Stegostoma tigrinum: one gene and its partner. The protein of the gene in region 2 purifies or fractionates together with the protein of the main gene of each other region. This does not show direct contact. Links are inferred from orthologs where the notes say so. Each region holds a gene or a part of one and is shown on either strand. Other genes may lie near its edges. The genes, in order: plekhj1 and ocrl.

Region 1 (13,001 bases), on a different chromosome or scaffold from region 2:
AGGTAAATAGGTTAATTAGAGAAAAATTTAGAATCATAGGATTATAAGGGTTTGTTTCCATGCTGTATGACTCTTCAGTCCAGCTTGTCCACGCTGACTAGGTACTCTAAACTGAACTAGTCCCATTTGCGTAAATTTGGCCTATATCCCTCCATTAAGCTGGAGATGGTTCAAAAGAGATTTACCAGGATGTTAGAGATAACAAAAAGCGTGGAGCTGGATGAACACAGCCAGCCAAGCAGCACCTTAGGAGCACAAAAGCTGATGTTTCAGGCCTAGACCCTTCATCAGAAAACAGGGAGGGGGAAGAGGGTTCTGAAATAAATAGGGAGAAAGGAGGAGGCAGATCGGAGATGAAGAGAGGAGAAGACAGATGGAGAGGAGTCAGACAAGTTGAAGGGGTGGGGATGGAGCCTGTAGAGGTGAGTATAGGTGGGGAGGTAGGGAGGGAATAGGTCAGTCCAGGGAGGACGGACAGGTCAAGGGGGTGGGATGAGGTTAGTAGGTAGGGAATGGAGGTGTGGCTTGAGGTGGGAGGAGGGGATGGGTGAGAGGAAGAACACTTTAGGGAGGTGGGGGCAAGCTGGGCCGGTTTTGGGATTTGGGGGGTGGGAGGGGGTCGATTTTGAAGCTTGTGAAATCCACATTGATATCATTGGCCTGCAGGGTTCCCAAGCAGAATATGTGTTGCTGTTCTCCTCCCCTTTACCAAGATGTTGCCAGACATGGAAGGTTTGAGTTATAAAGATACGCTGGGATATTTCTCACTGGAGCATAAAGAAGTTACCGAAGTTTAAAAGACAATGAAGGGTACAGATAGTTAATAGTAGTTGTCTTTTCCCTAGGATGGGGATTTCAAGACCAGAGGACATATTATTAAGGTGTCAGTGGAAAGATTTAAAAAAGGCATGAGACGAAATTTTTTTTAAAAGAGGGTGGTTTGTGTGTGCAATGAATTTTGAGGAAGCGGTGGCTGTAGGTACAATTACAACGTTTAAAAGACATTTGGATAAGTAACTGAATAGGTAATTTTGGAGGGATATGGGCTAGGAGCAGGCAAGTGGGAGCAGTTTAGTTTGGGATTACATTTGGCACAGACAGGTTTCTGATTTCATGCTGCATTACTAAACTTTTCCTATTCATGTACCCATCCAGATGCCTCTTAAGTGTTGTAAATGTACCCACCTTCACAACTTCCACTAGCAGCTCATTCCATACACATACCACCCTGTGAGAAAAAGTTACCCATCAGATCACTTTTAATGCTTTCCCTGCTCACCTTAAACCTATACCTTTTGTTTAGGACTTCCATACCTTTGGAAAACAGACCTTGCTTATTCACCTCATCGATGCCCCTCATGGTTTTATAAACCTACAGCCCCTGACACTCCAGGGATGAAAAAGTACCAGCCTTTGAAGCGTCTCCTTATAATTCAAATCCCCCAGTCCTGGCAGTAGATTGGTTAGTGAGGTTAAATCACATGCTATCCAAATGAATACAAAATTGGCTTGATGGTAGAAGACAGATGGTGGTGTTGGTGCATTGCTAGCCTTTAATTTTCTTTGAATATATTTTTATTTTGATCCTTTGTGGTCCCTGTCCAACAGAAATTGGCGGAGACAGAGTCAAGGGACAGCCATTTTTTGTTCGTTTCTTTATTTATTTACCCCCCCACTCCAAAGTAATAGGGTCTTTGTTTTCACAATACAGTCAAGGAAACTTTATTTCCTGTTTCAAAACAGTAAGCAGGCTTTGCTCAGTGTTTCACCTGGTGCTATCCCAGTCTGAGGGAATATCTGATGGGGGGGGGGGTGGCACGGGAGAAGGGGTCTTGGTATTTTCTGGTTACACCTTTCGTTTAAAAGTAGAGGGATGTTATTTGGACTGGAGGCTTGCGACCAGCAGTGTGGTGCAAGGATGGGTTCACTGTTGTTCATCATTTATGTCAACAATTTGGATGAGAATATAGGAGATATAGTAAGTTAGTTTGCGGATGACACCAAAATTGTTGACACAGCAGACTGTGAAAGAGGTAATCTATGAGTACAATGAAATCTTGACTAAATAAGGCCAATGGGCCAAGTAGTGACAGGTGGAGTTTAATTTGGATTGATGTGAGGTGCTGCATTTTGGTAAAGTAAACAAGGGCAGGACTTACACAGCTGGTATGTCCTGGAGAGTGTTGCTGAGCAGAGGAATCTAGGGGTGCAGGTTCACAGTTTCTTGAAAGTGGCATTGCAGGTAGCTAGGTTGGTGAAGGCAGCATTTGGCATACTTGCCTTCATTGGCTAGAAGATTGAGTATAGGAGTTGTGACAAATATTGCATTATACAAGACAATGGCAAGGCCAATTCTGGCCATCCTGCTATAAGGAGGATGTTACTGATCTAGAAAGGGCACAGAAAAAAATTGCAAGGATGTTACAAAATGCAAAATATACTAGCGATTTGATCTGGATATTGCTGTAATGCAAGGCAGCCAGAAGGCATGTTATCTAATGATTAAACACCCACAAGCAGGAAATGATGATAAACAGGCCAAAGCAATAAACTAGAGCAATCAGTCCTAACACAACTGCTTTTAAATGTTAGTTATATATAGAATTTAGAAAGAGAATGACTTGTTAATGTTTCGGACTGCTTTTCATTCAAACTTGTGCTTCAGTTTAAACTCTCCCACAAAGCAAATATTGCAGACGCTGAAGTGAACAAATTGCAGGAGCTATTCAGTGGAGCAAGTAACATCTGTGGAGAAAAAAGCTAATATTTGAGGGATGCAATCTTTAAAGGAAAAAAAACTTTAAATATAACAGACATTAGAGGTTTTAATCAAGTAGAATTAGGCCAACCAAGATGGGTGATGGCAGGTGGGATTAAGTTTTCTTCTCTCATTCACTTGCCTTGCCTCTTGGATGATGGGGCTGAATATAGGGCAGACTCATTAGCAATTATCATTGTCAAATGTAAGATGGGTAAGTTGCCAAAAGCAGGTAAAGGGTCTAGAAACAGGTATTTGACAGAGGGCAAAAATCTGGCAGATTGAATTTAATGTGAATTTGTCTACTTTGGAAGGAAAAACGGAAATGTACCCACTATTTAAAACAGTGCAGGCAGAGATTGCCAAACTGTGTCTGTGTGACCTGTGATGCAAATCAAAACAAAAATCAGTTTGCAGCTCTGGCAAGTGATTAGGGAGACAAATAGAATGGCAATTATTACAAGGGGAATGGAATACATAAGCAGGAACATTTTATTGCTGCAGGGCTTTGGTGAAACCATATCTCAAATACATGTACACTTTTTTTCAAAAAAGTGTACAAGGTTCAATTGGCTCATTTCTGATATGAAGGGCTCATCTTACAAAGAAACGACTGAGCTGGGTGGGCTAGTTCCTTCCAAGAACTTAGTAGAATGAGGGGATCTTATTGAAATATACAAGGCCATGAGTGAATTTGATACAGTGGATAGTTTTGGATAGGAAAATGGAATGGAGACCACAATCAGATCACGTATGATTTAATGGGAAAGGCAAAAGGAAAGGCCAAATGGCCTACTTCTGTTCCCAAATCCACATTCCCATGCTCCTTCACTTACTAAAGCTTGTTACAGCTGATATTTTCCACACCTGAAACATTAACTCTGTATCGCTCTCTAGAGATGCTCTCAACATACTAACTATAGTCAGCATTTTTAGCTTTGTAAATACAGATGTCAGACCTCTTAGACCTCTCTCTAGTCAACATTTTTGAATGAATTGGATGGTTATCAATCTCCAAACTGAATTTGAAATCATTTCAACACATCACAAAAATCATGCTCATATGAACAAATGTCTCCATTCCTATACAGGATCATTGGCCATTTAAACCCTCATTCATGCTAGTCACCTCCAGACCACTCAACATGAACTCAGCATACTCAAAAGACTTATTTATTGCACAACAAACCCAGTTCGACCATCACCTCTATCCACAAGACTCACATTAACATCCAGATTTTAACAATTTTATGTTACTCTCCTTATCGGCAAATACATTTACAGTCTAATCACCATTACTCCCACATCTGCAGGCCACCTTGTGTTTGTCTTTCCAGCCCAATGAGCAGCTGCCCTTTAACTCCATTTATTGATGATCTTGTTTTCTGGCTATGAGACTTCACACTCAAATCTCTCCCTCTCCCCCCAACCCACTCTTTTTCTGCTACAGACCCCACACTAAAATAGAAGCTTTCTTTTTTTAAAAAAGAAACATTCATAACATTTTTTTGGTTCATGTGGTTTCCCTGTCCCCAGGGTAGGGGTTATTGTTACAGTAAAAACTTATAAAATGCAATCATAATAGGTTGGCATTTACTTTACACTCTCTGCTGTCCCCTCCATCGACAGCTAACATTGACATATAATAGAGCTAAACAATTTGCGGTGCATAACCACTGTTTTCTGATTGTAGTGCTTGCAGCGAATTTAAGAAATGGAACAGGCAACTGGGTTTAAGTAGAAGTGATAACTGCTAATTTAGATACTCGAAGGAAAGGTGGGCAGAGTCAACTCTTGCACGTTGCACTCAATGTCACCAGCGGGTTACAAAATTATGAGGTAGGTATTGGTTCCAATGTAACACCCCAGGACTGTTTTCATCCTCCCTGCTGAGCAAGTGAAATCCCTTTCAACCCATCCGACCCCAATTCTGAGGAAGGGTCACCGGGCCCGAAACCTTAACTGTTTCTCCCCAACCCACCCCACCCCACCCCACAAATGTTGCCAGACCTGCTGAGCTTTTCCAGCAAGTTCTATTTTTGTTTCTCGAGCAGCTTAGATTGCTCCTTACCGTCGTTGCGCTTTGGGCCCTTCATGGTGAGCTCGGCTGCCTTCTCGGCCGGTTGTTTGGAGAGACACAGCAGCTCCTTCTCATTGTATCTCATGGTAGCTGGCAGAAAGGCCCCTTCCCCCTCGATATCACCCCTTCCCTCACCGAGGGGAGGGGGGGGGGGTGGATGTTAATGAGCAGTTCCTTGCCTTCAGACACAGCCACCACCCTGGACAAAGCTGCCCCACCTGGTGAGCGTTATCTCTGGAAGCGAAGGCCGAGCGGGAGGTGCGTGCCGTTGGTACAAAATCGCGATAAAGTCTGCGGCATATCTAAAAGTCAATAAACACGGGCACGCCCAATCTAGCGACAAATCATGACTTCGAGCTGCGGCGGAGGCTGGCACTACGCGGCACACCGAGCGGCAGACGGAACAAAAACCGCACCTCACCCCAACGCTCGACCTCCCTCAGAATCCACCGCGTCTTCTTGTCAATAAAGTTATTGAAAAGCCCCACTTCCGGTGGTCCACGACCTTCTTCCGGTTTTTGGCGCATCGCGCCAGTGTTCTTTGTTAATAAAGTTACTGATAACAGTAAGTTCCGGTGCGCCGCGACTTTCTTCCGGTCGGTTTTGGTGGCTGTTGGAGGCGTGTTCAGGTAGTCGCGGGGCTGATGGTTCGAGGCCGCTAGTTTATTGGTCCCTGGTAGCCGGAGCTTGGTGGGTCAGGCACAATATACCTTCGTCATGATGAATGTTCTTTCCCTCACTTCCCCCCCCCCCGGACCGGTTGTTAACCCGGCCATTTTCTGAGCTGGCCAAGGAACCTGAGGCCTGTGTTTCCAGGCTGTTTAATGCAACGTTTTCCTTTGTGTCTGCTTGTTTGTTCAATGGTAAAGCTGGAGCGATTGGGGTCAACTTTGTTCGGAGTGAGCTGAATAAGCAAAGTGCTTGGTCTGACTGAAACCAGGTTGAGAGTTTGTTTCCCCTTGACTTTTGGGTGGTGGTGTGAGGAGAAAGGTGGTTCGGCATAGAGGACCGAGTACCTAACACTGAGATGAGGAGAAGTTTTTACAACAACGCACTTAATGGGTTAGAGATAGTGGGAACTGCAGATGCTGGAGAATCCGAGAATCTTTTTCTGATGAAGGGTCTAGGCCCGAAACATCAGCTTTTGTGCTCCTAAGATGCTGCTTGGCCTGCTGTGTTCATCCAGCTTCACACTTTGTTATCACTTAATGGGTTAGATTTTGAATCTTTAGAATTCTGTCTTGGAGTACTGCCTACAGTTTTGTTTTCCTATCCTGAGCAGGGGATAAATATTTTTTGATCAACTTGTTCAGAAATATTATGATGTACCTCTAGAGCATCAGAGGGACTTTAACCCAGGCCTTCTGGTTCAGATGTAGGGTGTTTACCAGTATGTCACTCGACCCTTCTGAAAAGGGGATGTACTTGCCATAGAAGGAGCACAATGGCAGTTCATCAAATTAATCCCTCCGACAGCATGTTTGTTATACCAGGGATTGAGGAGATTGGGTATATATTTCTTAGAGCTTTGAAGATTTGGAGTTGAACTCATTGAAACTTACAGGACATGATAGGGTGAATATAGATAAGCTGTTTTCTCTGGATGTTAAACGAAAAATGAGGGGCCATAATCTCAGGATAAAGGATGAGGTATTTGGACTAAACTAACAGGTGCTGTGTTATTAGGTATATTCAAGGTTAAGATTGATGGATTGTTGGTGTCTCACAAATTCCTGATATAGGATTTATGAAGTTAAGGCAGAAAGTCAATGACATTTGTATTATGTGGTGGCCCAAGCTTAATGAACTGGGTGGTCTATTCCTTTTCCATACATTTAGTTTAAGAGTAGTGGAAAATGTTTGTACTGCATATGTACATGAATGATGTAAGGAGGAATGTTTTTGTTAATATATATGCTTCCAAACACTTGTGTGGTGAGGGAATCTTCTTTATTTCTGACGACAGATTTTTGCTTCAGCTTTAACTACATTTCACAAGATTGATCACTGGTTGCATCTGTTCTATTCTGTAGTTTTTCCCAATGGCTTGAGTTGAAACATTCAGCACATCATCACAAATATTTATCTTTTTGTTCCTATGCCATGTGTGTTCCCAGAATGTTAATCTTCTACCAGTTTTTTAAAATATATATTGCCTGACCACAATTTCAGCTGTTAGTACCGTTACATTCTACCCAAGTATGCAGATAATGCCAACATTTGTGTCCTTGCTGTTTCCTTGATTTGATGCTGCCCCTGTTTGGATGAGTGTGAATGGGTTAGAAACTTCTCTGGAATGATCTTAGCTGATGTTCTGACCCTTTGCGAAAAACTGAGTCTATCTCTCTTCAATTGCTCACCAAGGATCCACCATAAACAAGCTTGGTTTGCTGTTTGGAACAACTGACTTTGGCCTCGTTCCTAGTATCACTTGGGATCAGCTCATCTCCAAGTCTGAATATAGTAAATTTAACCTGCCCTCCAGTAGCTGAGCATGTAAGTGCTCAATATTTAAGTGAATTTTGAGACAACTCTGCATCTTTGAAGATGTTATGCTTTTTGGATGAAGTATTAAACCAGGATGTGTTCAACAACAGCAACTTAGCATTTACATTGGGAACAGGAACAGACCATGTAACTAGTCAAGCCTGCATCACCATTCGTTTACTTCAACACCACTTCCCTGCACTATATTAGTACTGTTTGATATCATTAATTTCTGACTTGAATATCTCAAATTTTTTTTTAGTTTCCGAAGCCCCTGGGTAGAGAATTCCAATATTCATTACCCTCTGAGTGACAAGATTCATGCACGTCTTGATTTGAACTTAGCTTACCCTTCCTTAGTTTATGTCCCCTGGAATTATACTTACCAGCCAGATGAAACAGCTTCCCTGCCTTCTCGCATCCTGTAAGCATTATGTAAGTTTTAGTGAGTTCATCCCTCATTTTGTCTTGAAACTTTAGAGAATGCAGATCCATCATCTTCAATCCATCATAGAAAAATTACACTACCCCAGGGATTAATCTAGTGAACCTCCATTCCCCTCCTGTTCTGGCATGCATATCCCTTTGTTAGATATGGGAATCAAACTGCACACTGTACTCCAGGTGAGGTCATGCAAAGGCTTTATTCAACTGCAGCAAGATATTTTTATTCCTGTTTTCAAGTCCCCTTATGATGGAGAGCCAGCATACCATATGCCTTCCTAGTTATTTGTTGAACCTGAATGCTAACTTGTAGGATCTTTGGACATCCTCAGTTTCCAACCTCTCACCATTTAGGAAAAAGTCTGCTTTTCTGTTTTTGTTTCTCAATTAAAGCAAATAACTGCACATTGACTCACATTATTTTCCACCTGCATATTCTAGCCAATTCACTAAGTTTGTCTAAATTCTTCTTGAAGCCTTTCTTAGTCTGTTTCACAATGTACCCACCCAAATTGGTGTCATCAGCAAATTTTGAAATATGACAGTTGGTGCCTAAGCTGAAATTATTGGACTGAAAATAGCTTATGAACACAAGTCAATATAGTTTTGTGCATTATTTAACAGCCTGCTTTCCTGAGCATGGTCTGTTAATTCCTACTCTCTGCTTTCTGTCTATTAAAAGCCCTGTCAACCCTCTACAGTCCTCCTTGCTAACATCTAGGGACTAATGCCAAAATTTTGGCACTACATTCTCAAACATTCACTCCCTCCACCCCCAACACACAGTTGCAGCAGTGTGTACTATCTACAAGATGCATTGCAGAAATTCACCAAAGATCCTCTGACAGCACCTTCCAAACCCATGATAACTTCCATCTCGAAAGAGAAGGGCAGTAGATACACAAGAACACCACCAAGTTCAAGTTCCCCTCCAAGCCATTCACCATCCTGACTTGGATATACATTGATGTTCCTTCACAGTCACTGGGTCAAAATCCTGGAATTCCCTCCCCGATGGCATTGTGGGTCAACCCACAATGATAGGCTACATCAGTTCAAGAAGGCAGCTCACCACCACCTTCTCAAGGGCAGCTAGGAATGGACAATAAATGCTGGCCAGCCTGCAGTGCCCACATCCCATAAAATGAATAAAAAAACCCTCAAGTCCTGGTAACATCCTGGTGAATTTTTGGTTTATGTGTTCATAGGAAGCTATGAAAATAATTGCTATTTTGTTCCAATGTAGTGTTCCTCCTCCAGAGTCCTTACAATTGGAATTACGCCAGCATTCTATTTCGTCAGCTTCACTCCAACTACAACTTATATTAATGAGATTGGTGACCATCTCAGCATTTTACAAGGGGGAGAAATGAACAATGGAAGACTAGTAGTGCATTTGAACAGTTCAGTTTTCATGAGGCTATAGGAAGCAGGTAGAGAAGTATGAAAAATTTCAAGGATGTGTACTAAGCAATTAGAATATATGTGTTGGGAGACAGAAGTAAAACCAATTTAAAGAAATGGATACCAATGGCTGGAGTGTAGTGTTACAGATTTCATAGATTAAAGAGAAGCTATACATGGATTGAATGAGTGGGGTAGGGCCTTTGAAATTGGCACAAGAAATCAATTCAGTTTAGTCAGGATGGACGTGATAATGGGCAGTGATGATTAGCTGAAGCTGATAGAGAGCTTGTGAGAATTAAATTTTTGGAGATGCTTAACACATCAATGGACTATTTTAGTGTGAAGTAACAGTGTTATTTGGCAACCTGCAAGAAGGCAATGTATTGAAAGGGGAAGAATGGGTTCTAATGGTGAGCTTAGAATTGATCAGACTAACTTGATCTTCACTGCAGGATTTACAGCTGGTGCCTGAATTTTGCAGGTGTGAGCAAACCTTCAGTTTGCACTTGTGGACTAATTTTACAATATATTCGTCATGGGTGCTAGGTTTTAACCCAAACCAGCCTCTTTATACTTTATTGTCCAAGCTCTGATGTTGCTTTTGGTTTCTAATTGTTGAGACTAATGTGGAGCTTATAACTATGGTTTCAGGACCTGTATTGAACTCTCAGCCCTGATTAATCAAATTGGTAAAGTATAAAAGTGAAGGAAAAGTAACAAGTCTGCACAAATGCTTCTTTGCTACCAGGAACTGGTTGAATCTTGCCAAACTGATTTAACACATAGCCGTAATAGTCAATCAGTTGGCATCAACAAATATACTGGCTGGATTTAAAAACAGATCACAAGTGTGAAAAGGTAAAGTCTATGCATTACAACAGAGAATGGTATTTGCAAGTATGAAATATTTACTATGAATATTTTTCCAGCTCATAAAGCTGACGTTTCATTGTTAAAATCTATACCATATTTAAGATAGTGAAGTCTATAAGTTAATAACGTCAAGAAATCTTTAGAATGTACTTGACCTTTTTGTAAAAACATGTGTATAAAAGAATTACACAGGTGATTCTGCAATCTGTCACTCCAACTGCAGAGCGATGCTCACAGCTAGTGGACCTCAGGACGTCAGAGGCCCTTGTCTGTCTTTTCCTGAGATGTACAATTGTCTGTGACATCGGATCATTCATGCAGTACTTCAAAAACATTCCTCATAAAGTTGCCATTTTGTGAAACAAACGATAAGTTTCTGTACAGAAAGTGAAACTGACTATTAATATATCTGCATTTTTGTTTTTAAACTCTTTCAGATTTTGTAAAAAGATACTCTTCATCAAATAACTATGGATTTTCAACATCGACCAGGAGGGAAAACTGGCAGTGGAGGGGTTGCTTCCTCCTCTGAAAGCAATCGAGATCGAAGAGAACGGTTGAGACAGTTAGCTTTGGAAACCATTGACATAAATAAGGTTAGTTTCTGAGTGCAATCAGTACCAGTAAATTCCTGCAAATCTCTCGGCATATTGAAATTTTATTACTATTCTCTTTCTAATTTTTAGGATCCCTATTTTATGAAAAATCACCTGGGTTCTTATGAATGTAAACTTTGTCTAACACTTCACAACAATGAGGTAAGTTTAGTTTTTTGTTGACACAAAAGTGGAAAATGTCTGCTGGGAGAGGGAGTTCATCTGGGCTTCAGATGGCAGTATAAGGCAATAAAGATCTTTATTTCTGTTGCCAGCTGTCAGCTACGTCCAAAGGCATTGTGAAAAATACTGCAACAGGTTCTGACAGTCTTGTCTTGGCCTCCCTTCTTTGTTACCTAGGACACGACACTCACTTTATGCACATTAGAAGAATAAAAGTCTGAGTGAGCCATTGTCGTTTTTGCTGTCAGATCTGAACTCTTCCAACCTAATGTTCAGATAGACAGGAATGTTATGAAATTGTTCTTGTGCTGTTGTTGGACTGGCATTGTTATCTTATTTGCTTAGAAATGCTACTGTAATTATTAAAGTTGAACAAAACAGGACAAAGCAGCTCATTATGACCCTGTCCACCACCTTCAACATTTGCTCGCATCCTCCATTGGTACACCATGATGGCATCTACAGCAAAATGCATTCCAGCAATTCACCAAGAATGCTTTGGTAGCATCTTCAGAAATATAACCCTTATCATCTTGAAAAACAAGCAAAGTAGGTGCATGTGAACATCATCACCTGCAGCTCTCCCTCTATGTCATGCTCGTTCTTCCTGCATCTCTAAAAATTATGAACTTGCTCAATAACAGTGTTTTGGCTGGACCTATAAGCACATAGACTGCAGTGGTATTAGAGGCCGGCTCATCTATGTCACTTATTCAACTTCTTCAGTTGGGGATGAGCAATAAATACTACCCTTGCCAATGGCACCCACATCTCATGAGTAAGAAAATTAGGTAAACACTTAAACAAAAAACCTTTTACAGTAAATTTTAGTCGATAATTGAAACTCAAGCCAAGGTTGCATTTCGGATTTACGGTGCTATCTTTGAGCTGATGTGATTTATTTTTCAGTCAACAGTTTGAGGTGTAACATCAGGTGTAACATCTTTATTTTTTGCGTAATCTTATTTAAGCTAGCTGAGTTTGTATGTAATTAATTTTTCCATAATATTTTGCAACACATCTTCTAAAGTCACTTAATTCATTTTTATATGGTTGGACTAAATTTCTATTACATCAAGACAAAAGTAATGCTGATAATGGGATGATTTCCCACAGAACATATGTGGATATTTAAATAGGTTTACATCAAATTCTTTAAGCTGGACACTTCTGTTTTCCACTAGTTTGGATGAGTCTAAATACTGCTTTAAGAACAAGATTATTGATGAACTTGCTTTTTGGAAATTGCATTGAAAATAACTCAAATGCATTTGACATTCTCATCCTTAATATAGGGGTTTTATTGACCTGCCTGTTAGGACTTAAATTAGATCGAGTATTCAAAAGCAAATACAAAGCTTTAACCTACTGATCTTCCTCCCGGTACCACCAGCAATTTTTTCTTTTAAATCAGGTTTTCTCTCAAATAAAGTGTTGTATTCTTGGAACTATCTTTTACATTTCTGATGTTGAGGTTTGTTCAGTTAATTTACCCAAGTTGCCTATCCTTTAATTGCATATAAAATTAGACTCTTTTAAAGTACTGTTTTAACTTGATTTGAATTTTTCTTCTATAGGGAAGCTATTTGGCACACACACAAGGGAAAAAACATCAGACTAATCTGTAAGTGTAAAATTATGTTTAATGTAAAAATATGTGAGTTTTGAGAAGATTTGTAGCTCAGGTAGCTCTGGATGGGAGTTTGATCGCTAAGCTGGAAGGTTAGTTTTCAGATGTTTCGTCACCATTCTAGGTAACATCATCAGTGAGCCTCTGACAAAGCGCTGGTGTTATGTCCCGCTTTCTATTTATAACCTTAACATATAAATAGAAAGCGGGACATAACACCAACGCTTCGTCGGAGGCTCACTGATGATGTTACCTAGAATGGTGACGAAACGTCTGAAAACTAACCTTCCAGCTCAGCGAGCAAACTCACATCCAGTAAAAATATGTTTTTGCAATTATTCTGTGTTCAGTTCCTTTATTTTAACAAATACTTGTCTCATTAGAAAAACATAAACTGTAAAATATGCAGGTCAATGCCATTAGTTGAGATTTTCTGTTTATATTGCAGCTGTTATCTGTCAAAACTTTTACTGCATTTGAATACTGCCTTCCATTTGAATAGAGTCTTCCATTCATTGATGCAAGGTTTTAAATATAAAATTT
Region 2 (12,087 bases):
TAACTTGACTCTTGTCTAACAATTCAGCAATTTATCCATTGCCCAAACATGCCTAGTACTCTGGGGATAGGCAATGCCACAACTTTAACACCTTTTCTTAAATTGGTGTGTGTTTACTGAAGCAAGGACATTCATTTGCACAGCACCTTAGAGACATCTTGGCAATGTCAGAACAAGTAGACTCCAGTCTATCTGAACAAGTATATGGAAATGGTGTTCACTTATACCCCGTCTCTCGTTAACAGAGGTTTCTTACACAAAACATGGTTTAGTCAGTAAAAGGGATTTCCTTCTAAATCTGGATCTCACAAACACATTGAAAAGATTCATGTGTACAGGCACTCAAACAGTCATACCTGAACAAGAGGTAAAATTATGACATTGTTTGAACAGTAGCTCAACTTGAAAAAATTACAGCAAACAAAGCCAAATGAAAACATGCACATACTTACTCATATTCACCTTTATTTTCCATAAGATACAAAACTCTGGGTACTTTCAGCCCATCTTTCAGCTCAGAACCATTGACAGCTTTTCAAGTTATTAAGGAACCATATATTTCAGATCAAGGAGGATAAAAATAAATGTAATCAAATTACTGATTATTGCTGGTCATTGGGAATATCTATGTCCAAATTTTTCCTTTAAGAAAACAGAGATGTACAAAAATTAGATTTGAAGCTGGATGCAGCAGAGAAAGAAAAGTCAGAGAACCAAAGACACCAATTGAATCAAGGGATACAGCAATTTGGTTGGAGCCTTCGTTGGTCCTGAACTGAAAATTCCCTTCCACTTACTTAAATTCTGTAAGTGCAAAACAGTGACAAAACAAGGGTAATATCAATCAAAATTCAGCAAAGTGACAAGTAAAATTCCAATAAAAACAGGCAATGAAACAAATTTAAATAAAGGCAAAAATTGAGGCTATTTTTAAAATTTGGATTCACTTTTGAACTGAAAATCTGAACATAAACTAAAATAAAAGCATTGTATGTGATTACCTTTTTTTGTTATAAATAGACAAATTCCAATATGAATAAATTTAAACTGATGTCTAAAGTCAGTTAGAATCAATTATAAAGTACGGGACACCAGCCGATTTTTCTTTCAGTAAAATATATTTATCATTTTATTGTTCAAGGTAATGTAAGGAGTATGACAGCATCAAATGCACCATGCATTATTCCACAGGACAACTAAGAAAGGTCACTCAATTTTATCCAGTATAATCTGTCATTTTCATCACCTCAACCTGAATGAAAAACTCAGGATTTCACCTATTCTGTTCCACAAATCTATTAATGGTTTTACTAACTGGGTGTGTATAATCTAGATGCAAGCATCAATGACTGTCTTGATTTTAAAGTAAGGATGTTTCCCTTCATTTCGTAATGACTGCAAAGCTCAAAAGTATGTCCCAGAAAAGATTCACAATTAAATACTAGCAAGTCCTTCACTGTACTAAAGAACTCAGCATTAAACTCATTAATAGTAATGCAGTGAATTTTGTTTTCAAACAAAAGTTTATTAGCTAAAATAAAACTACTTGCTTATAATACAAATGCAATAATTTTTAGCGTCTGATTGCAATTCATACTGAAAAAAAGTATGTATGTCTGTTTATCAATTTAGTTTCTCAAAGTACATACCTCAAATATTTTTCACTGAGCTTTCTTCAATTTGTGTCAGTTGTTTCCTCGTACCATTAAATACAACAATCATAGCACAACAATTTCCCCACTTGTAGCTGAGAACTAAGAATAAGTTACTGGTGACAAGGATGCAAAGCATCACGTACAGTTAGACTGCCCACAACCATAATGATAAACACTGAGTATTATAAAATTGCCTGTGCAATTCCAAAAAATCTTTTCTTGAAATTACAATATTGTGACAAACAAATGAAAGATATGCCATATCCTCCTTCACTGAACATTCTAAAGGGAATAAAAGTGCAACTAGTAAGCTATTTTTGTACTTTTAAAAATCTGTCTCTCTCTCTCAATTGCACAAACAATAATTAAACAAATGACCAACTACTCCATTTTTGGTGATACGAGTGACAGGATAAATGATGCTCAGGCCAACAGCACAATTTCTTCTGAATTACACTCATCTTTTTTGATCAACTGACAGGCACACAGAGCTTCAGTTTAATATCATACCAGAAAGACAAAAATACTTAGAATGCAGGATTTGTTGAGTAATACACAATATTGTCAACATAGGAGTATGAAGTCTGCCCAGGAGTGAGGTTTCAACATGGGTCATTCTAACTTCAGAGGGGACAGCATCATCACTGTAACCACATCTGTACAGGCCAGTAAACAGGTTCACAATATATTATCAATCCAACTTTTATAATACATTTGTGGGATACAGACATCACTTACTAGGCCCACATTTATTGCCTATTCTGTATAGCTTTTGGTGATGTGGTGGTGAGCTGCTTTCTTGAACCACTCATCGGACCATGTACAGTGCTGACTGGAAGGGAGCTCCTGGATTTTAACTCAGTAAGTATTTCATACAGCATGATGTATATTACAAAAATGCTCACTCCACTTGCAAAATATTAATGCTACTCTTAGAGGTGCAAGATTTACCAAGTATTAAGTGTAGTGAATTTTAGTCAAAAATGGTTTGACTGAAGTAGAAAAATGAAAGAAGGTCACGGAAATTACAAACAAAAATTGAATAGATGCCTGGCCGTGATTACAGCATTTTACGAATGACATAGAGAACTGAATAGAAAAAAACTGTCACAAACAAGATCTGAAAGAGAGAATTACAGACCATCCAAATGAACCAAAGCTCAAAACATCACGATGAACAGAAACAAAAACAGGAGTTGCTGGAAAAGCTCAGCAGGTCTGGTAGCATCTCTTCAGAGAAATCAGAGTTAACGTTTCGGTCTGGTGAAGGTTCCTCAGAATGTTCTGAGTAAGAATCACCAGATTCACAATGTTACTCTGATTTCTCTTCAGAGATGTGCCAGACCTGCCGAGCATTTCCAGAAGTTTTGCTCTTGTTTCTGATTTACAGCATCTGCAGTTCTTTTGATTTTTACATAGATGATCATAGTCCTTAACCCTTTTTCTCCATATCCATCATCCTAAATTTATTGCCATTTTCCACTTTCCATGGACAACATATTCTAGCTAGTCACCAAATCATATATAACATAGCTAAACGCAAACTGTTCTGACTTCTCTTACAAAGTGAAAACTGAACCTAATGATCAAATTTATGACTTCAGAATTATTAACAATGCAGTTCCCTGAACATGTATCCTTTAGAGTTTTGAATAACTCCAGAATATATCCCAAAAACTCTTTCCTTCAATTTCCTTCCCCTATTTTTGTCATTTACATTTCTGATCTGAGAGATCAGTTTGGATAGCTTTTACTATACTTCCAGCAAGTCAAAATAGCGAAACACCCAAGAGGTTTCAGAACCATTATGTACAAATTGAAGGCTTATTGATGTGGCTTTCTAATGCAATCATGTTGCGTAAAGAAGACTTACGCCTGATGAGAAATGGAATCTACAGGGGTCTTAGAAAAAAATAAAGTTGATTAGCCCAGTTGGCTGGACAACTGGTTTGCAAAACAGAGTTAACACCAAAAAATGTGGGTTCAATTCCTGCACCAACTGAGGTTACTACGAAAGGCTCCCCTTAACTTCTTCCCTCATCTGACGCCCAACGACTCTTAGGTTAAACCACAACCAGTTGTTTCTTTCTAATGGTCTGCTTGGAATGTGGTAAATGTAGCAACAATCGTAGTATTGGAGTAATGATTTCAGAAACTTTTATTTTCAACATTCTGACTGAAACAAATCCATAAATTCATAGTCCGATTTGTTATCCGCATCAGAATGTCAGAATGTTATCATCACACATTCAAGTTCATTTTCATAACAATTGATCACAATGTGAGATTATGTTAAGCTACATAAATCAGTAGGCCTGTGCATGCTTGGTTAGACAATCCAAAATGAGTGGTAACTAGAGTTACAACTGGCTTTAACACCTTGGAACGAACAACAAATAATTTAAACAATTCTGTTTAAGGGGAGGTCATGGTCTTGTGGTGTCTTTGACACAGGATTAATCCGGAGAGCCAAGTAATATCCCGGGGATCTCACATGCAACTGAAAAAAATGGAATTAAGAGTCTAATGATACTCATGAAACTATTATTGATGGTTGGAAAAACCCATAAGGTTCATTAAAGTCCATTAAGGAAGGACACTGCACACTACACGCATCCCCAAAGCCACAGCTAAGTGTTGGAATTTTAACTGCTTCGTGGGCAAAATAGATGGGCAATAAATGCTGGCCTACCCAGCAACATTCACAACGTTAATGAATAAAAAAAGCTGAAAGAGGAAAACAACAGAAATCCTACTCTCGTTTGCTATGTTATGATTCCATCAAAAACACTGACACGAGTTGGAATTGGGATGAGGCTCAGCTCTGATGCACCTCATAGTGCAACGGCCCACCACCGTTCATTTTGGTCCTCTCAAGAGGCGAGCCATTCGGATTCAATGGGGTGGGGGGTGGGCGTGGTTAACACCATATGTAGATTCCTAACTAACCTATGCATATATCAACACTATATTAATACAAGCCTTTCGCAAAAACTGCAGAGCTTTGAAATAAATATGCAAGCTTACAAACGACAACGAAGTGTCTTCGTCACAAACTAATGATCTCGTGCATCAGCACTGCAGAGCAAAACCACAAAAGGGTAGATTGCAGAGCACCAACTCAGCAACAAAACAAACCATTCCTGCAAACTCTGGAAGTACAGTGTTTCTAACAACTAACACAATGCGTTCAGGATAAAATCTCCAAAGAGTCTCGAATTAAAAAAAACTTCACGGATCAGCAACCACTGTCTATCTTACAGGGTTAAGAGGTGGTGGGCAGGTTGCAGTGGTGGAAGAAGTGCACTGGACCGATGAGTGGGCTGCTGGTAGGAAGATTCAGGCTGGGCCCAGCGCTGCCTCCGCTCTTTGAGCCGGCCGGGCCCCAGCTCGTTTCTGTTGTGTTCCTCAGTTGCCAGGATCCCGGCCCTATGTTACACCCAGTCGCTAATTTGCTCATCTGCCCCATGTTAAAGGATATTATCACGGGCTTCCCTTTTCCTCTCGGTGCCGGCTTCTCCATAAGGTTTCCCGGCGTACAGTTCCCCTACCCGCCACGCAATTCGGACCACAGCTCGGTACCTTCACCTCGGCGACATTGCTTCAGTCAGTCAGCCAACGCCAACGAGTTCGATCCTCCCACTGGGCAGGCCAAGAGCGGCGCCACCTTCTGACCTGGAGGGTGGAGCGCTACCTTCCTACATGAGCTAATGCACTCCTGAACATTACAGAGGTAGCGCACCACAATTTAATTATAGCATATTTTAATATCTCTCGAAATAAGCAACAACGTACATTGAAAAACGCTGCAAAATATATTGCGTTTCTCATTCTCATAGCTAGCATTTTTTTTCTGAGGACAGCTCTGATATTAATTGCACCGCAGGGCAACACTAAAATATAATCAAAAACCAAACCATAAAACAAACCACAACAATTTCTGAATTTACTGTACACTGTAGTCCCTAAGGTACCCTCTAGTCACGGAAGCATAGGCACGCCGGGCAGAACTCATGATCCTTTTCCAGGGACACTCCACCCACATACATGAAGGTGCCAGTGTTGGACTTGGGTGGACAAGGTCAAAGATCGTATGGCACTACAGTCCAGCAAATTTATTTGAAGACACAGCTTTTGGCATCATGCTCCCAGTCCAACTCCGTGTTGATGCACAGCGTCATTCGAAACAAGGCCCCCTCACTTAAAATGCATTGTCTGACCTGAGATGTCATCTCCGATATACTGGTAAAACCCTTAGTTATCTCAGGGCAGTGACTTGGAAGACATTCTGGAATTTGCATATTAATCCTTTCTAACCGATTGAAGATTTAACAGCCATCTTAGGTTTGTTCAACACATTTGCATCAGTTCTATGACCCTTTGATCTTTTGCTTATAAATTGTGTCTGATGGCACCTCTCACTGACACCTGAGGAAGGAGCCAGATTCTGAAAGCTTGTGTCTTCAAATAAACCCATTCATGGTTACAGCTGCAAAACAGCAGCAAAGAACCATATGATCAACGCCATAAACTACATGCAATGTGAAGTCAGTTCTGCTATCAGACCACAAGAGTCCACGTTGACTTTCCCAGCACGTGACCTTCCCTCCTACATCATGTGTCAGTAGTGATGAATGCAGGACTGAAGAAGAACTAGAAGTTGAGGAACTGCAGCATCAAACAACAGTGGACAACGATCATAACCTCACACATTGTGTGCAAATATTAACACTGGCACATTTTGGCAGGAAAAAGTACAAACAGCCTGGGAGCCAGTGAAGAGATATAATAAATCCAAAGATGTGCAGGTTAGGTGGATTGACCATGGGAAATGCAGGGTTACAGGGTAGGGTAGGGGGTTTGGTCCAGGTGGGCTGTTCTTCGGAGGGTTGGTGTGGACTTGATGGGCCGAATGGCTTTCTTCCACATTGTAGGCATTCTATGATTCAAGTGATAAATCAGATTTTAGTACAGTACCCTACATCTTCAACATGAGGAAAGCTCAATGTTTTGAATTAACTCTTTCTGACAAGTGCCAAATTAGACCAGGGATTTAAGAGGGAAGAATTAGTGTATGAGATCATTCAGTTCTGACATTTGGCAATAAAACAATGTTGGAAAACTTACTAACCTTAATGGGCAATGGTTGTACAAACACAGCGTACAAAATGAGTACAAAAATAGGTACATCCATGAAAAGAAAACAGAGTTTGTTCATACAACTGTGCACCAGAAGAGCATACATGCATTACAAATTGAGCGGCTTTAACAAAGACAAAAGATTACAAAAAGTGTGTTTCAATATAGTATTTTTCCTTTTGTAACACAATGTTCATTTGCAATAGTGCAGCTGTCATCCTGGCAGAGTATGAATCATGTGCAAATGTTCTGCACCACATAAATATTCCTTAAATATGAGTTAAAATAAGTAAAAGCAGTTAATAAACTTTCTGAGATTTGTCGGCACAACATTGTGGGCTGAAGGGCCTGTTCTGTGCTGTACTGTTCTATGTTAACCATACTAAACAAGAATTAACTGTGCACTATAACACATTGAAAATAATTGACCTCTAATGCATAAATAAGATATACCTTATTGTTTATTTCTATGTTAGACAATTACAAAATTACTCCCAATTGTAGGAAAGCTGGTCTTTTTGTTATTTTTGTTATCGTGGGATGTTGGCATCACTGACAAAGCTAGCATTGATTGTCCATCCCAAACTGTCTTTGAATCAAAAGGCTTTCTTGGCCATTTAGAGGGCTGGTTAAGATAAGCTACATTTCTGGAATTACATGTAGTCTAAGCCTGCTAAGGATGGAAGATTTCTTCGCCTAAATTCATTCCCAATTGAGAAATAACAAACAAGCCTTAAAGCAACATGTGAATGTTTAAATTCGGCAAAGCTTAAAGACAGAGGCATAGAAATTCAAAGGAGCTGCATGTATTTCTCAGGCACAGAATGGCGTGAGAAACTATGATGCACCAACAGGTGCAGTGTAAAAGAAGAATGTATGAGTAACTATTTACTGGTGTTTGGGTTTGCAATATTTATAACTAACATGAATGTGGGGAAGTTCCTCGCTGTGTGCTGAAATTGGTTCACATGTTAATTGAACAATATCAGACTTGTTACATGTAACAGCGTCTGTCACAATTTTTTTTAGTTTTTACGGGCAGAATCCTACTGGATCCTGAACAACTTGGGAAGTGACAAGGAATCTCAGAGAATTCAGTGAGAAGTCCAATGGGGCTTTTCTCAATATTGGGAGCATGAAATTACATTTTCAACAGCGTGCCAGGTATTGAGACAAGATTGTTGTTAGGGAGCGGTGAAATGCCTATCGATAGGGCTTTTTGCTTAATATTGCCCTCATTGACACTAATATGCAAGTTCCTATGCTACCAAGCAACTGATAGGAATGATACAAATTCTCAATGCCAAGAATTCACAAAATAAAAGTCAGAATGTGCACCTGGTAAACACGATTGTTCCTCCAGACAGCCAACCTGGACACCCAGCATCAACATTTCAGACAGGCCCCAGAGCAGTTGCTTTTCCCACCCACATCCACAGATGCTTGCAGGGTGGGGGTTGGTGGGGCAATAGCCAACCTGTCCACATCCTTTGATACATCCTAATCCACTTACAATGTGACTCTGTGCTGTGATGTTGCACTTTAAGCCACACTTGCAGCTCTCATTGCAATATCACTGACAGGTCACAGCTCACATGAACAGGCACCCATCTCGCAAACTGGACCAGGCTGCATCTCAGGGGTGCCACATCATCTCTTAGCACTTGCTTGCTTAGCAACTACCTGGATGCTCACGGTATTCCCATCTTACCTTGTTTTGTCTTCAACATGTTGCCCTTGAAGAACAACAATGTAAAGTCTCACAGTACTTCTGTATTGTTTTGCACTTGATTGTAGAAACAAAGCCAGGCAATTTGTCACCCTTGTCAACAGTCGGGGGTGAACAGATACGACATGTGACAACAATAAATCAGATCAAAATCAAACTCACACCTGGAGAATGTGCCAGCTTCCTGCATGGCAAACGTTCTGCATCTCTATAACCAAATGGTCACGTCTCAAAGTTGAAGGGGAATAGTCCTGAGGGGAATCAAGAGATGCTGCTAGCATTTGGGGGTCCTAGTGCAGATGGTCAAGTGCAGTCTTACAGAGCATGAGCTTAGCAACAGCCAGACATCCAGATGAACCAGTAATGGTCAAGTGATCCATCTCTGCATAGGCTGAGGAGTGAGGGAGATGTAAGGGATTAATGCAGGGATTGTGGGCTGTAGCCAGGGATGTGGAGGGCACATGGATGGGGATGGAGGGGATCTCAGTATGTAAGAGGAGAGCTGGTAATGCATGAGAGAGCATGGGATGCTACGGGAGGAGGAATGATAGGATACAATCATCATTGCAACTTCATTTGCAAGATGGTGGTCATCACCAAGGTATAGTAACAGGGTCCAGGTGGTAAGATGGATATGTGAAAATTCAGTTTAATGTGGTGGTTGAGCACAGGTGAGGTTCTGTGAAACAAAGTCAGAAACTACTGGAAAATCTCAGCATGTCTGGCAGCATCTGTGAAGTGAAATCAGAGTTAAAGTTTCATATCCAATTACCCTTTTCCAGCAATTTCTGATTTTGTTTCAGATTTCCACAATCTACAGTTCTTTCAGTTTTTTTTGCCCAGGGTTTTGTGAAGAAACACTATCCAGGGAACACTAGGCAGAAAGAGATGTGGAGGTTTGGTCAAGCGGGTGAATCTGACTACCAGACCAAGCCTGGTACTGACAGTGTCCAGCTTGACCTGCATTTGCTTCCACATTCTGCTGCACCAAGCTTGGGCTGAGCGCGTCATTTTTTAGCCAAGAATGCAGGCTCCAATCCAGTCCGATATGCCAGGGATGGGCTTTAACAGTTCAAATACTGATCAAAGACAATGTCGTCCATGTCATTAGTCCTTGCAAATTGCAGACAGAAAACTCTGTGAAGCAGAAGTAACCACAGGTGACCTTAAATGAGACACCAGTGGGCCACATCACACACAGTTAATTCAAGACTTCCTACAGGATAGAGGGCCACACAAACTGGTTACCTCTCCAACTGAAAGGTAAGAATGGTAGAAGCCTATTTTGTTTGCAATTATGCAATTTTGTGGGTGATGTGGGGCTTGGGACAAGGTTACTAGTGTTTATCCAACATTTGACCTCTGCTACTATCAATCTTCACCATGACCAGTCGAGCACTGGGTAAAATAAAGTCCCAAATCAAAGTTGCATTATGGCTTATTCCAAGGGTCCTCCTTATCTGAATGCAACATGCCTCACTCTTTGGAGGAGCACATTCAGCCATCACTTATCATGGATGTGACAGTTGGCCAATCCCATTGCTAAGAATCTCTTCTGTTCCTTATGTTTCCGATAGATGATCATTGCCACTGTGACCGATGAACCTAGTCAAAGTGGATATGGTTGTCACAGTTGCCACCATGGAAAAAAAATGGAGGAGAAATGAATACATCAGCCAGCCCTGGACCAGCAGTAACCTGCTGCAGAAGGTTGCAGAGCTCTGTTATGTGAAGAGGGTGCAGCTGAAAGGCTTCTCAATATGCATCACAGACAGAGAACCATAGTCCTTTCTCCTCAATACCCTTTCCCCCATAAGGTGAGGTGCAGTGGTGGCGTAGATTGAAGATATCCAAGATCTATGCTTTACCTTGACCGGTCTGATAGGGCCCAACTCTGGACAGAATGTGCCACATAATTCTCACTTGCTGTCCTCAGCATAACTAGAGTATGCCAAGAAGCAACATACTGAATGTTAAGTAACTGGGAGAGGTGGAGCAGTCTTCTTCTGAGGACAAGGAAGAAAAAGACATTGAGCAGGAGGAACATAACCTTATTCATGGCAGAGTACGTCAGGCACTACAAATCAGACAGGTCTTAGTTGGCAGCCAGTTCTATTAGACGAGAACTGGGTTCAGTGACCATTCATTGACTGTACAATATCAGCAGTTTGTTTGCATGCTGGAGGGTAATGCAGCTTCTGTTTTGTTTGGTTTTTGTCTGCCTTTGGTTTCTGTAAGAACAAGTTAATATGACACATCATTTGGAGGCTTTCCTGTGTGTCATGGCCTAACAGTGAACAATGATGAGATGCTGGGCTCCAGTGGATACTGGGGACAGGGTACCAGTTACTTAAGAAGATTTTAAGATGGTATGTGATCAGAAATTGGTTAAGTATGTGGACTGGTGCTTAGACAGCAATTGGGGTGAAAATGTGCAATTGCGTTTGCAGTGTCAGCTTTGCTGCCTCTTTGCCATAAAAATGCTGGGTTACAATGTTCATGGTGAGGGTCAACTCCGAACTGCCAAATCTTGACCAGTTCATGGCAGGCGTTCCAAGATGGCATTGGCATGAGGGATGCTGATCAATTCTGGGATATCCTGGCAATTATGAGTTTATTCACTTCTGCTGACTTGCAAAATCTAGCTAGCATCAGATGAGAGATGCGCAATAGATCATGGTAGATACTTAATGAGATGAGTCTGGACTGATAGCATGAGAGAACACACTCTTCCTTGTGGAAAGAAAATTTCCTTGAAACATGACACAAATAATACTTAACCAATATATCATCAGATTCAATCTTGTGTGTTTATAATTATTATCCACATTGACACCTAAATTCAGTGTTAAATGCTTTGTTTCTCATTTGCTGTACATTTTTTTCACAAACAATTAACTGAACAGTAATTATGATGCAGTTATTTTCAGATTGTTTTAACTAAAACTGTATAAAATAATAAATGTAGGTGGTTTCTGAGGGAAGAATTGAATTAAAATATTTTGTTAAATCAGTCTCCTAAGATATATAGGCACCTTATTACTAACATTGTCCTTAAAACTTCAGTGTTGTCAGTGGCCAGTTTCTCACTGTATGATCCCTTTCAATTTTTGACATGGTACTAAAAAACAGAATAAGGCGTATGCAGTAATTTCCAAGCACATACACTGATTAGCAGGAACAGTGCCTATCACACTTCCAGAAATGTCTCATAAAATTAATTACATAGAAGCACATTTGTAGTTATGTAGGCATATGTGACTGTTCACCCACGGCAGGATCCTTAAAGCAACAATGAAATGAATAACCAGTTAATCTATTTTTTGTGTAACTCTTTGAGGGAGGGACATTGGCCGTGACACCCTGAACTCCCTGCTCACATTGAAATATACACCAGAACAAGCAAACAGGAAGATAAGGCCTTGGTTGAAATCTCATCTGAAGGCCAATGCAGCATTTTTTGTTCAGATTCAGGATTCAAATGTACAACCCATCTCTCAGTAATTTGGGCATAAACAAATAACTCTGCCCTTCTAGTAAATAGGCTGGTGGAAGCACTGAGAG

Evidence for each region.
Region 1: the proteins of ocrl (region 2) and plekhj1 purify together in Homo sapiens (co-immunoprecipitation; 3 studies listed by BioGRID and IntAct, counting the BioPlex papers as one, with this or other methods). This does not show direct contact. The link is inferred for Stegostoma tigrinum from reciprocal best matches to the Homo sapiens genes OCRL and PLEKHJ1.

What each region holds. Positions count from the first base shown.
Region 1 is NC_081383.1:19,449,457-19,462,457, forward strand, and holds the start of plekhj1 (pleckstrin homology domain-containing family J member 1), read right to left. Parts: upstream 5,324-13,001; 5' UTR 4,924-5,323; coding exon 4,830-4,923; intron 1-4,829. Other genes in the region: sf3a2 (splicing factor 3A subunit 2), read left to right, coding at 10,520-10,645, 10,736-10,807, 12,406-12,452.
Region 2 is NC_081368.1:44,348,719-44,360,805, forward strand, and holds the start of ocrl (inositol polyphosphate 5-phosphatase OCRL), read right to left. Parts: upstream 5,285-12,087; 5' UTR 5,179-5,284; coding exon 5,137-5,178; intron 5,074-5,136; exon of another isoform or gene 4,917-5,073; intron 534-4,916; exon of another isoform or gene 533-533; coding exon 453-532; intron 1-452. UniProt on the Homo sapiens protein: Catalyzes the hydrolysis of the 5-position phosphate of phosphatidylinositol 4,5-bisphosphate (PtdIns(4,5)P2) and phosphatidylinositol-3,4,5-bisphosphate (PtdIns(3,4,5)P3), with the greatest catalytic activity towards PtdIns(4,5)P2.